3 linked regions of the Drosophila melanogaster genome follow. The main gene of each other region encodes a partner of the protein of the gene in region 2 in a complex. Each region holds a gene or a part of one and is shown on either strand. Other genes may lie near its edges.

Region 1 (3,753 bases), about 19 Mb from region 2:
TGTCCTTCTTTCATATGAAAAGTGTGTTTTTTTATGCTCTTTAGAGTACCTTTTATTCTTCACCAGGATCAAGAATCAGCGCAGTCGATCTGGCCATGTTTGTCCGCATGAACGTCAAGATCTCATGAACTATAAATGCTAGAAGATTAAGGATGCAGATTGCACAGAAAAGTGTAGGCGTAGCTCAAGTTTATCCTGGTGCTACCAAACAATTGAAAGTTAAGTAACGCATATGATGCAACGAGGTGCTGGTTATAAAATGTAAGAAACTAGTTTTTAATAGAATGTGTTGTCATATTTCGTCACAAAATTTGATATTATAACTTTTGTGTGCCGAAGGTACGATCATCAAAGTTTGATATTAAAGAATATAAATATTACTATTCTTACAATAAACCCAGCACCGATGCGACTCCCTGAAACCCTATAGAATAGTGAAGCTCACCAAAGACTGAAACACAACATTTTGTTTTAGCAGTTGGGTGCTAAATTTTCAGTTGCACATGCATTTATTTTGTTCCTGGTGATGAATACTGTTGTGTTTAAGAGTCTTCAGTAGATTCGAATGCTCCTACAAACGCCACATGGTCGTTTAGTGTAGGTGTCACAGGATTCATGCTGATTCTTCAATTGAGTTATAAAAAAGATAATCCCATATATATTTTCTTTAGTATGGAATGTCATTCTGACCAGAGTAATCGATACAAGTTTTGGTTTTTTTTTTTGGCGATCAGAGCACTTTATTACGTAGACCCCCATTGATAAAAAACACAATCAGTTTACAATGCCACCCTTAGTAGATATTACCACTTCAACAAACGCCGTCGTTCTAGGCGGTGGGCAGGAAGGTGAGCTTTTCGTTAAGCTGCAGCTGGGTTTTGATGAGCTGGGAGAGCGTGATGACCAGCAGAAGGTTGCGTACGTTGGCGTTGAACATCTGAGTGAACTGCTCGTGGGTCATGTGCGGCACGGAGTGGATAAGGTCTAGCAGCTGGCGTCCGACGGCGTTGTCGGGGGTTACCTTGTGAGCGATCACGTCGTCAACGTACTTGAGAATAAGATCCAGCAGGGACTGCAGCTTCGTGGAGGCCTCCGAGATTTGGGCCAGGTCCAGCATTGGCGGAACGGTCTTGGGACGGTGAGCGGGCGAAACGCCTACGGTCTTCTGAAGCAGCTTGAGCCCAAATGTCTCCGGCTCGTAGCTGGTCAGCTCGACAGGAATGGGCGTGAACATGCAGCCGCTCTTGCCGCCGGGAACTCCTAGTTGAATGCAGACATAAGCACGCAGACCCATACGTCCGCCCTGCAGCGAAGTGTCCACGGTGAGGTGAACCGGGTTGTTGCATTCGCGGGCGTAATACTCGTGGATCACCGAGCTGTGGTTGGTAACGTCGTTGCCGGTGGCCCACCAGCCTACCACGCTCTCGTTGGAGTTCACCTTGCGGTTGAGGTCGTACATGTCCAGGGCGTAGCTCAGCTCTGCCTCCACCTGGTCATCGTGCTCCTTGTGCGGCACACAGAAACAGTTGGTAACCTCCACCACACCTTTGTCCACAGAGCCGAGCAGGGTGCCGATGACGCGGTGCGAGTCCGCGTTCCGCCGCTCGAAGGCGTCCACCACCTGGAAAAGCACCACCGGGTGCACGCGCACGGTCAGATTGAGAGCCGACATGGTAATTTTCGGTGGCCAAGATTTGCAAGGAAAATTTCCGCAATAATTTCTATTCAGCCACGCTGCGCGTATGTTTTAGGGATGCAAGAAAAGGGCCTATCGATAGTGCGGGTGGGGGTTGATGGCTTTTGGAGCTATCGGTGCGGTCGTGCGTGGCCTATCGTTTTATCGATGTAAAACCGGTGGCTAGCGTTAGTTAATCAAATACTATTCAAATTTGAATATGTCGGAGATGCCAAGCGCGACTTTTCATTTACTTCAGCGTCCATATTGTCCAGCACATCAAGTCGCCTGCGTGTTGTTTCTTCTGTCGTTCTAAGCAGACTAATTTACTCAAGCGTCGCCTTCGCGATGCTTTTCTTCTATTCCTCACCTTCACTCAATTATTTCATCCTTACTTCGTTTCCAGAAACTATACAACAACAACAACAGCCACACAAATGATGCCCACTCAATAACGGAACGCTTTCCGTGAATTTCATTGCTCGCTGCTCATTCTTAACATAACGGATCAATAACAAAATGTCGGTTACATTCTACTACTCAATCTTGCTTGTGAAATTTTGCTGATCAAACGTGCTTAAAGCGAATTATTAAATTTAATAAAATGCCTGGAAAGAGATAAACTTTGAAGTTACCCAATTAATAAACTATAACCACCAGTTGGGAAAATCTTTTCCAGAATAAGTATAAATGTTTTCTGTATCCCGTAAGACCGTCTACTATTTTTTAAAAGGCTCGGAAAAAGAGGACAGGCTTGAACCTAAGAGTGGTGGTGGGCGGAAAATTAAAATTAAAAAGCGTGTAGACCGCTTTATTATGCGAATAGAGATTGCGAACCCCCGGTCAGATCACTTGCTCTGGATATCAGGCAAGAGTGTCACCTAACTGTGTCACACGAAACTGTGCGCCAAGTCATCCTACGCCATAGATACTCTTCAAGAGTTGCGAGGAAAAATCCTTTGCTATCAGATGCCAATATGGAAAAGCGTCATTAATTCGCTGTGAACAAGGTGGATCATCCAGAAGAGTACTGGGATGACGTCATATTTGGTGACGAAACAAAAATTATGCTCTTTTATAACGACGGGCCAAGCAGAGTATGGCGCAAACCGCTGAGTGCGCTAGAAAAACAAAATATCATTCCAACGATAAAATTTGGAAAAATGTCACTGATGGTTTGTGGCTGTATCACCAGCCATGGAGTGGGAAAACTAGCCTTAATTTAGAGCACAATAAATGCCGTGCAATATCTAGGAATCTTAAAAAACAAATTTGAAGGCCGGTGCAGAAAAATTTGGTCTAGTTAGCAACAACAAGCCAAATTTTATATTTTAAGAGGACATGATCAGAAACATAAAGAGTGCAATGTACGCACCTGGCGCCCTTATAACTGTGGTAAAGTGATCGATACGCCCCCTCAGAGTCCTGATCTGAACCCCATTTAAAATTTGTGGACCTACTTAAAGAAGAAGGTGGCAAAAAGGGACCTAAAACACGACAACAGCTTATGACTGTAATAGTCGAAGAGTGTGAAAAGATCCCGTTTGAATATGACCTGCAAAAACTTGTCCATTCCATGAAAAAAGGGCTTCAACTTGTAGCTAAAGCCAATGGGGAACATACTACATACCAAAACTTTTAAAATTTTAATAAAATAATTTAAAAATTTAGGATTAAACATCGATTTAGTGTTTTGTGTAAAGAGTTTCTTGACAGTCTCAAAAGTGTTTAAACTTGGAATTTGTTGTTTTTTTTCTTGTATATTTAATATTTTTAATTTGTTTTTTGATTTATAAGTAAAATAAATATTGTTTAATTATATTTTATAAAAAAAATGCGTTTAATTAAGCAAAAAACCTTTAATTTTTAGCTTTAAAGTCAAAAATTCAACTTATTTCACAGTGTGTAAACAGTTTCTTGACAAACTGTATCAATTTTAAGAGGAAGGTCCCGCTTGCCCTTCACTGAACGAAGGCTGGTTGGGAGAGTTTTAAAAATTCTAATATGTAATATGTAAAGCCCCTAAGGGAGCTAAAAAACATAACTCTTTTCGACTGCCCATTCACTGTGAGTTCCAT
Region 2 (3,753 bases):
GTGCGAACTAAATGCACTCCATGCCTGCATTATTGAGACCCTGGACATTCGGAAGGCCTTCAATCTGATCTACTGCATGCTGCGCTCCTATTCGAATGAGCTGGGCCCGTGCTCGAGGAGCATGGGTGTGGACGTCAGCAAGGCCAGGGAGTGTAAGGCATCCCGAACCACGGCAGAAATACTGGCGCCCTACGGCAAGGAAACCCTTAAACTGGGCATCTCCTTTGTGCCCACCATTGTGTTCGAGAATGTGAGTAACCAACCCAACCAGGCTTACATGATCAAATACCAGACTTAACTTAACATTACCCTCTGATCCGCAGGACTTTGATCCTTACGACCAGAGAAGCATTCGCAACAACTTCGAAAGACACTTCTGTCGGCAGTATCTGAAAAAGTTCAACATCAAACTGCCCACTTGTTCCGCAATTTTGTAAACTTTTATGTAATGTACTGAGTAATTTAACTGTTTCAATGTTCCAAGACCAATAAACAATAATTATAACCAACTGGAGTGTTTGCTTACTCGCTGACTCACTTGGGGCCAATAAAAATTTACATGTGTATAGTATATACATATCAGCTTATCAGTCATGTTTTTGTATACAGATTCTAATCAGAAACAGCTGTCTGGTGGTCTAAAAATAAGATTAAAACCCCGCTGCTCAGTAAGTTTTCCGTAGTCAGCGCATAAATGTAAAGGGGAAAATGCTGGTTGACAGCAGGGGCGTCGAATTGGTTGGCTAGTCACACCCTTTATCTATATATTTATATTAATTTTTTCAAAAGCGGATATATTACAGAAAAATTATAAAAAACAAGCGAAAAGTCACCCTACTATTGCAATACAAATAATTATTTTTTTTTTAACTTATATGATTTTTGAGCCCCCCTTGAGCATTTTCTAACCACGCCACTGGCCGCTTCGAATTTGACGAAACGCAGTGACAACGCTGCGCATTACAAGTCCCGGAATTATTTCAGTGTCGAGCGTTCGCTGGCGTTGAGCGGCCGAATATTTCAAGATCAGCTCGGGATTAAACTGAATTTGCCATGAGGGCGGCTGTCTTTGTGTGTCTGCTGCTGGGATGGGTGGGCGTGGCCACGCCAAGGGTAAGTGACCCAGTTGATCGGACTGAATCCCGAATTGCGACGCTCCCATTGATCGTGACTTTGCAGCGTTTGCGCGGACCGCAAGCTGACCGACTGGCGATCACCCTGTACTACGAAGCATTGTGTCCCTACTGCATGGAGTTCGTGACCACGCAGCTCAATCCCTCGATGGTCCGTCAGGATCGACTTCCATTCACTGATCTTACGCTGGTTCCTTATGGAAATGCCAGGGTAGGTTTCATTTTTCGTAGCTTAAACTAGTAGTTATAGTACAAGTACATAGTATAGCTCAATTTGAAGTTTTAGAGTGTCAATCAGCGTTAATCCGCACTTAAACTTCGCTTAATCCCCTCCAGACGAACGATGACGGAAATGTGGAGTGCCAGCACGGAGTGATGGAGTGCGAATTGAACGCGTGGCACGCCTGCATACTGGAGCACCATGACATTGCCCAATCCCTCAAGCTGATCGCCTGCATGATGAGGGGTAAGAAGAACAGGCTGGAAAAGTGCGCTGACCACTATCAAATCGACGTGGGCGATGTCAAAAATTGCAAGAAAACGCGACAGGTGAACGACATTCTGAGGAAGTACGGCAAGGAAACGGCCAAGGTCTCATTTCAGGGAGTGCCAGCCGTAGCTCTGGATAACGTGAGTTTAAATGCGAAAGAAATTCATGAAATCTAAAATAAAACTTTGTGATTTTAAGGTTTATAACGCGGATCTATCAGCAAACTTAACTGATCATTTTGATGCCATTTTTTGCGCCAAGTATAAGGAAAAGTTCAATAAGCAGCTAAATAATTGTCAATAAATATTGTGTTCATTTAACAATACATTTTTTTATTAAAAAATATTTTTTGCATTTTCTTTGTAATTAAATCGTAAAATCAGGTTCTGAAAAATGAATAGTTCGAATTTTTAGTTTTCCCGCCCAGCAGTGGCGCCATCTATGACAGCATGCTGCCAGACCTTTGAACATTCGCTACGATTTTAGTATTTTTCTTTGGCGGTGGTATATTTCAACGCGACAACGGTCCCACTCAACTATTTTCGCAACACGCGACGATACGAATTTTCCACATTTCTTTGTTGATTTCTGGAAAATCGCTGTATATAGACCGAATAGCCGACTGCAGACTGAGCACCAGGTAAACGCGCGAGATGAGCGAGACCATAAACACCGCGGCTCAGTTCCCGAGCTTCGAGAAGCCGACCGTGCAGTTCAATGAAAAGGGCTGGGGTCCCTGCGAGCTGCCCGATACGTTCAAGGATGTGCCGTACCAGCCGTTCAGCAAGAACGATCGTCTGGGCAAGATCTGCGACTGGACGAATACGTCGAACAACGACAAGAAGTACCAGAGTGAGTTTATTCCCCACCCGAAACCGACCCACAAAATACTAATCGCCGAAAGTGAGGTTAGGTAGGTGTGTCGTGGCATGATATTGTTGCTAACATATTGGTGGTTGGTATTCCATTCGCAGACAAGTATGCCTCCAGCTTTGGCACGGGCATTCAGTACTCGTACTACCATGAGGAGGACGAGACAACCTTCCACCTGGTGGACACGGCCCGCGTCCAGAAGCCGCCGCACCAGCGCGGCCGGTTCCGCAACATGAGGAATTCGCGTTCCGGTCGTGGCAGGAATGCCCGCGGTGGCCTTAATACTCACGGCATGACGACGCTCAGCGGCAAGAATGTAAAGGCCCGCGATCCGCGCCATGGTCGCGGCATGGGCAAGAAGTTCGGTCATCGCGGACCACCACCAAAGATGCGCGAATCTTCGGTGGCCGTCCGCGCCGATTGGGCATCCATCGAGGAGATGGACTTCCCGCGACTCATCAAGCTGTCGCTGCCCAACATCAAGGAGGGCGTCGATATTGTCACCTGCGGCACGTTGGAGTACTACGACAAGACCTACGACCGCATCAATGTGAAGAACGAGAAGCCGCTGCAGAAGATCGATCGCATCGTGCATACGGTGACCACCACAGACGATCCCGTCATCCGGCGTTTGTCTAAGACCGTCGGCAATGTCTTCGCCACGGACGCCATCCTGGCCACCATCATGTGCTCTACGCGATCGAACTATTCCTGGGATATTGTCATCGAGAAAGTTGGTATGTTAAATGAAATACGAAATATAATAATAATAAGAGAAATAAATAATAATTGTAACCTTATTTTAGGCGACAAGGTGTTCATGGACAAGCGTGACCACACCGAGTTCGATCTGTTGACCGTGAACGAGAGCAGCGTGGAACCACCGACCGACGACGACAGCTCATGCAACTCCCCTCGCAACCTGGCCATCGAGGCGACTTTCATTAACCACAACTTTAGCCAGCAGGTGCTTAAGACTGGAGACCAGGAACCCAAATACAAGTTCGAGGAAAGCAACCCTTTCATCAGCGAGGACGAAGATATCCAAGTCGCCAGCGTGGGCTACCGCTACAAGAAGTGGGAGCTGGGAAGCGATATTGTAAGTGTTGCATAATCCAACTTTAAAGTTGGAATATTTTTCTATATTATGTTAAACTATTGTCTTATACTTTTAGGTCCTGGTAGCGCGTTGCGAGCACGATGGTGTCCTGCAGACGCCAAGCGGCGAGCCGCAGTTCATGACTATCAAGGCACTCA
Region 3 (3,753 bases), on a different chromosome or scaffold from region 2:
CCATTTTGAGCTCCATTAATTGGTCAATTTTTGTTACCCCCCTTAGCAAAATTCAATTTTTGCCGACTAGACGAGATTTGCATCCCACTGAGCAAATGTGAACCTCTTATGAAGATTCTACATCCCCGGAACATGACAAACGATCAAAAATCACAGTACCGGAACAAACTATGCAACATTAATCCTTTTGCCCACGAGCTAGTGCACATGGTTTTTACCTGCTGCCCGATGGTTGCAGGGGATAAACTACCAGATAGCAGGGTCTGCGGACAGAGTCCTCCTTCGTCATATATCGTAGGCGGCATGGAGGCACAGTCCAACCAGTTTCCCTGGACAGTCCTGCTGGGTTACGAAGCCTACACAGCAAAGCAGCGACCGTCTCCCATGTGTGCGGGCTCCTTGATCGCCAGTCGCTATGTGCTGACGGCAGCCCATTGTTTGAATGTGAATGACTTCTACGTGGCACGTGTGCGCCTGGGCGAGCATGACACCGAGAACGATCCCGACTACACCTGGCTGCCGAATGGAGCCAAGATATGGGCTCCAGCGCACGTGGACATCGATGTGGATCTGAGGGTTCCGCACGAGCAGTACTACACGAGAAATGGAAGACACTACAACGACATTGCTCTGTTGCGTCTGAAGAGTCGGGTGAAGTAAGTAGTGTGCTCTTTGGGGTTCCCTCTTTTCACATTTTCCCATCGATGTCCTCTCTTTCAGATACACTCTTCAGATCAGACCCATTTGCATTTGGCCTGGCATTGAATTGTCAACTTCCTCCTTCAAAAACTTCCCTTTTCAAATTGCCGGCTGGGGCGATTCGGGTCTGCAGCAAAAAAGCACCGTACTTCGCCAAGGCACCATCAGTGGAATGAGTCCGGATGAATGCTTGAATCGGTATCCAACACTGCTCGTCGATAAGGACATCCAGATATGTGCCATGGGATGGGATGGCACCGACACCGGACTGGGAGATTCCGGTAGCCCGCTGATGGCTTCGGTGGGCAGGGGTGCTGATCAATTTTATTACCTAGCCGGAATAACGTCCTACGGAGGGGGACCCTCCAGTTACGGATATGGGCCAGCGGTTTACACGAAAACTTCCTCATATTATGAGTGGATAAAGAAGAAAATCAATGATATCGCTGAAGATGAACGTAAAATGAAATACAAATCTGTAAGAATACCAATTTAATTTAACGTTATTAAAATGATACTTTTTATGCATGCAGAAATGGATGTTGTTCTTTGTTAACAAAATCGCCAAAACAGTCAAGTAAAGAAAGTACACAATTATCTTTAAAACCGTTCTTGGGACAAAAAGCCACATTTAACATGATTATGTTAAAAACAGATGTAACCATTGAGAATTGCAGACGTTTGACATAATTCACATTTTGCAAACAAATCCAGATCTTAACTAGACCAATTCTAACTCCAATAAGGATGACTTAGCCTCTCAATCGAAAGAATTCCTCGACTATAAGATAGCCTTAGTCAGCAATTGGGGAGTTCGAGGTATATAACGACACAGCTAGTTCTTCTTATCAAGAACATGCTTATGTATGTATATACTCTCTACTATATATAATTTATCGAGTCGAATCAATTTTCCTTATAACTCTAAGAGTAAGTTTCTTAGAACACCACGAAGAGGGAGATTTATCACGAATTTTTTTTGAAAAAAACTTGTAGGGTAACTCAAATCTTTAAAAACTTAAAGATTTCTTAACAAAGTTGACAAATTTGTGTTTGAAAATAAAATAAGCAATCTTACAATCAAGAAAGGAAAAAAATGAAAAATGAAATATTGTAGGGTAACAAATTTCAAATTGTCGATAACTTGATATCACCTTGGCCGCACTACGAATATTCGATGGCAACAGACTATCGGCGACGTTACCCACGCATTTTCCGCTAGTCGCGCCTTGGGCACACTACAGATCCACAGAAATTTGGTTTTGGAAAATTCCTGAAATCGCTGCCGAGGCTGGAAACAAGTCGATCCCAGCACCATCCCATCCAGAAGCACAAATCCCGCAAGCAAATAGGCAACCATTAACATGGCCGACGATTGGGGTAAGTTGCGATTGGCCTGGGCGGAAGAGTGGGCGGTGCGTCATCTGCACGGCGGACAATAAACGTGGTCTCCGTCGTTGTTGTTGTTGTTGCTGCTGCTATTGCTGTTGTTGTTGGAGTGCCGTGCAACCAGCCTTGATGAGTATTTTTAGCCACTGTGCCAACTAACCGTTTGAAATCATTGTTATTCACCATGTTCCTGGAACTCATTCTGTTACCTGGCAGAATCCGCAGCAGACAGCGAGGTGGTCATCCGGCCGACTGCCGCCGCCAGCGTAAACAAGTGGGAGGGCGAGGACGAGGATGAGGACATCAAGGTGCGACTAACGAAATCCAAGTGAGATCGAAAGCAGTGCCGCATTCAAACCAACTATCCAAGTGCCCAACAACAAATGCCATGGGCCAAAACTTGTTTTTCTGCACTCGGTTTCACTTTCGTTTCGCTGTACACGTGTGCACTTTTGCAGCAGACTGATCGAATCATTTGTTTATTTGCTGCCCACAGGACAGCTGGGAGGATGAGGAGGAAAAAAAGGACGAGGAGAAGCCTACGAAAACAGAAGCACCAGCCAAACCGAAGCCAAATAAGGCGCTAAAAGCCAAACTGGAACAGCAGGCGGTGAGATAAGGCTCAAAAGCATTTCTCAATCATTGGCTATATTGTTATCATCTGTTATTAACAGCTCCTAGAGGAGGAAGCGGAGGCAAAACGTTTGGCCAACCTATCGCCTGCAGAAAAGTTGGCTGAGAAGCTGCGATTGCAAAAAATCCAGGAGGCCTCTGATCTCAAGCATGCCCAGGAAGCGTTCGGTGTGACGAGTACGTGCGGAGGTCTTGACGCCTTCAACCCCGAGACCAAGGAGGAGTTCAAGGAATTTGGCGCAACGCTCAGCTGGAAGGTGGGCCAATTCCGCGAGTCGGAGCACTTCCCCCAATTTGTTGAGGATCTGGTGCGCAGCCTATGCGTGAATCGTGAGTGATTAGCTGGCTGACAATTAAAGACGGCTTATCTGATTTGATTTCGCACCTTATCTAGTGAGCGCTGCTGACATCAAAAAGGTCAAGATGAACGTGGAAATCTTGCACTCGGAAAAGCTGAAGCTGGAAAAGGCCAATGCTAAAAAGCCCGCTGGAAAGGGCAAGGGCAAGGTCACTCTCCGCACCGAAAACGACGTGAGTGTTTCAATCGCCGCCGTTCGAGATCAACGAATGAACTTATTTAATCCGCTCTTTTGCAGGACATTGACGGTTACCAAAAGTACGGAAATGACTTCACCGAAGACTATGACGACTTCATGTGAATAGGATCTATAAATGTAGCCCGCATATATCTAATTATTGAATGCATAGTTGCTTGTTGAAGAGTTCTTCTTGTTAGAGATGCTGCGCAGGAATAAGAGTCCTTTGTTAAATATAAAATGGCAGAACCTATATAAATATGTAAATATATATTTATATAACCATACATAACACAAAACGAGTTACATAGTCAAGTCAGGCAATCAAGAAACCTCAACGAACACGCAAATCCAACTCCAAACCGAAAGAATATTTAGGCAACTGACTTATGGCGACAGCACATGTATGTAGGTCGTATTCGGAACGGCTTCTTGTGAAATTCATTTTTGTATAAAGAATAAAACTACAGATCGATATTAAACGAAAACAAAGAAA

The links.
Region 1: eIF3d1 (region 2) and eIF3f1 share a complex: the UniProt entries of both Drosophila melanogaster proteins name them as parts of the eukaryotic translation initiation factor 3 (eIF-3) complex.
Region 3: eIF3d1 (region 2) and eIF3j share a complex: the UniProt entries of both Drosophila melanogaster proteins name them as parts of the eukaryotic translation initiation factor 3 (eIF-3) complex.

Annotation. Positions count from the first base shown.
Region 1 is NT_033777.3:4,712,414-4,716,166, forward strand, and holds eIF3f1 (eukaryotic translation initiation factor 3 subunit f1), read right to left. Parts: upstream 1,770-3,753; 5' UTR 1,673-1,769; coding exon 830-1,672; 3' UTR 469-829; downstream 1-468. UniProt on the Drosophila melanogaster protein: Component of the eukaryotic translation initiation factor 3 (eIF-3) complex, which is involved in protein synthesis of a specialized repertoire of mRNAs and, together with other initiation factors, stimulates binding of mRNA and methionyl-tRNAi to the 40S ribosome.
Region 2 is NT_033777.3:23,677,915-23,681,667, forward strand, and holds the start of eIF3d1 (eukaryotic translation initiation factor 3 subunit d1), read left to right. Parts: upstream 1-2,124; 5' UTR 2,125-2,276; coding exon 2,277-2,475; intron 2,476-2,597; coding exon 2,598-3,233; intron 3,234-3,302; coding exon 3,303-3,595; intron 3,596-3,671; coding exon 3,672-3,753. Other genes in the region: GILT3 (Gamma-interferon-inducible lysosomal thiol reductase 3), read left to right, coding at 1-250, 324-437; GILT2 (Gamma-interferon-inducible lysosomal thiol reductase 2), read left to right, coding at 1,054-1,113, 1,180-1,344, 1,470-1,763, 1,822-1,926. UniProt on the Drosophila melanogaster protein: mRNA cap-binding component of the eukaryotic translation initiation factor 3 (eIF-3) complex, which is involved in protein synthesis of a specialized repertoire of mRNAs and, together with other initiation factors, stimulates binding of mRNA and methionyl-tRNAi to the 40S ribosome.
Region 3 is NT_033778.4:9,967,157-9,970,909, forward strand, and holds eIF3j (eukaryotic translation initiation factor 3 subunit j), read left to right. Parts: upstream 1-1,772; 5' UTR 1,773-2,063; coding exon 2,064-2,079; intron 2,080-2,304; coding exon 2,305-2,396; intron 2,397-2,584; coding exon 2,585-2,698; intron 2,699-2,762; coding exon 2,763-3,051; intron 3,052-3,115; coding exon 3,116-3,252; intron 3,253-3,317; coding exon 3,318-3,380; 3' UTR 3,381-3,741; downstream 3,742-3,753. Other genes in the region: CG12133 (uncharacterized protein), read left to right, coding at 109-656, 721-1,195. UniProt on the Drosophila melanogaster protein: Component of the eukaryotic translation initiation factor 3 (eIF-3) complex, which is involved in protein synthesis of a specialized repertoire of mRNAs and, together with other initiation factors, stimulates binding of mRNA and methionyl-tRNAi to the 40S ribosome.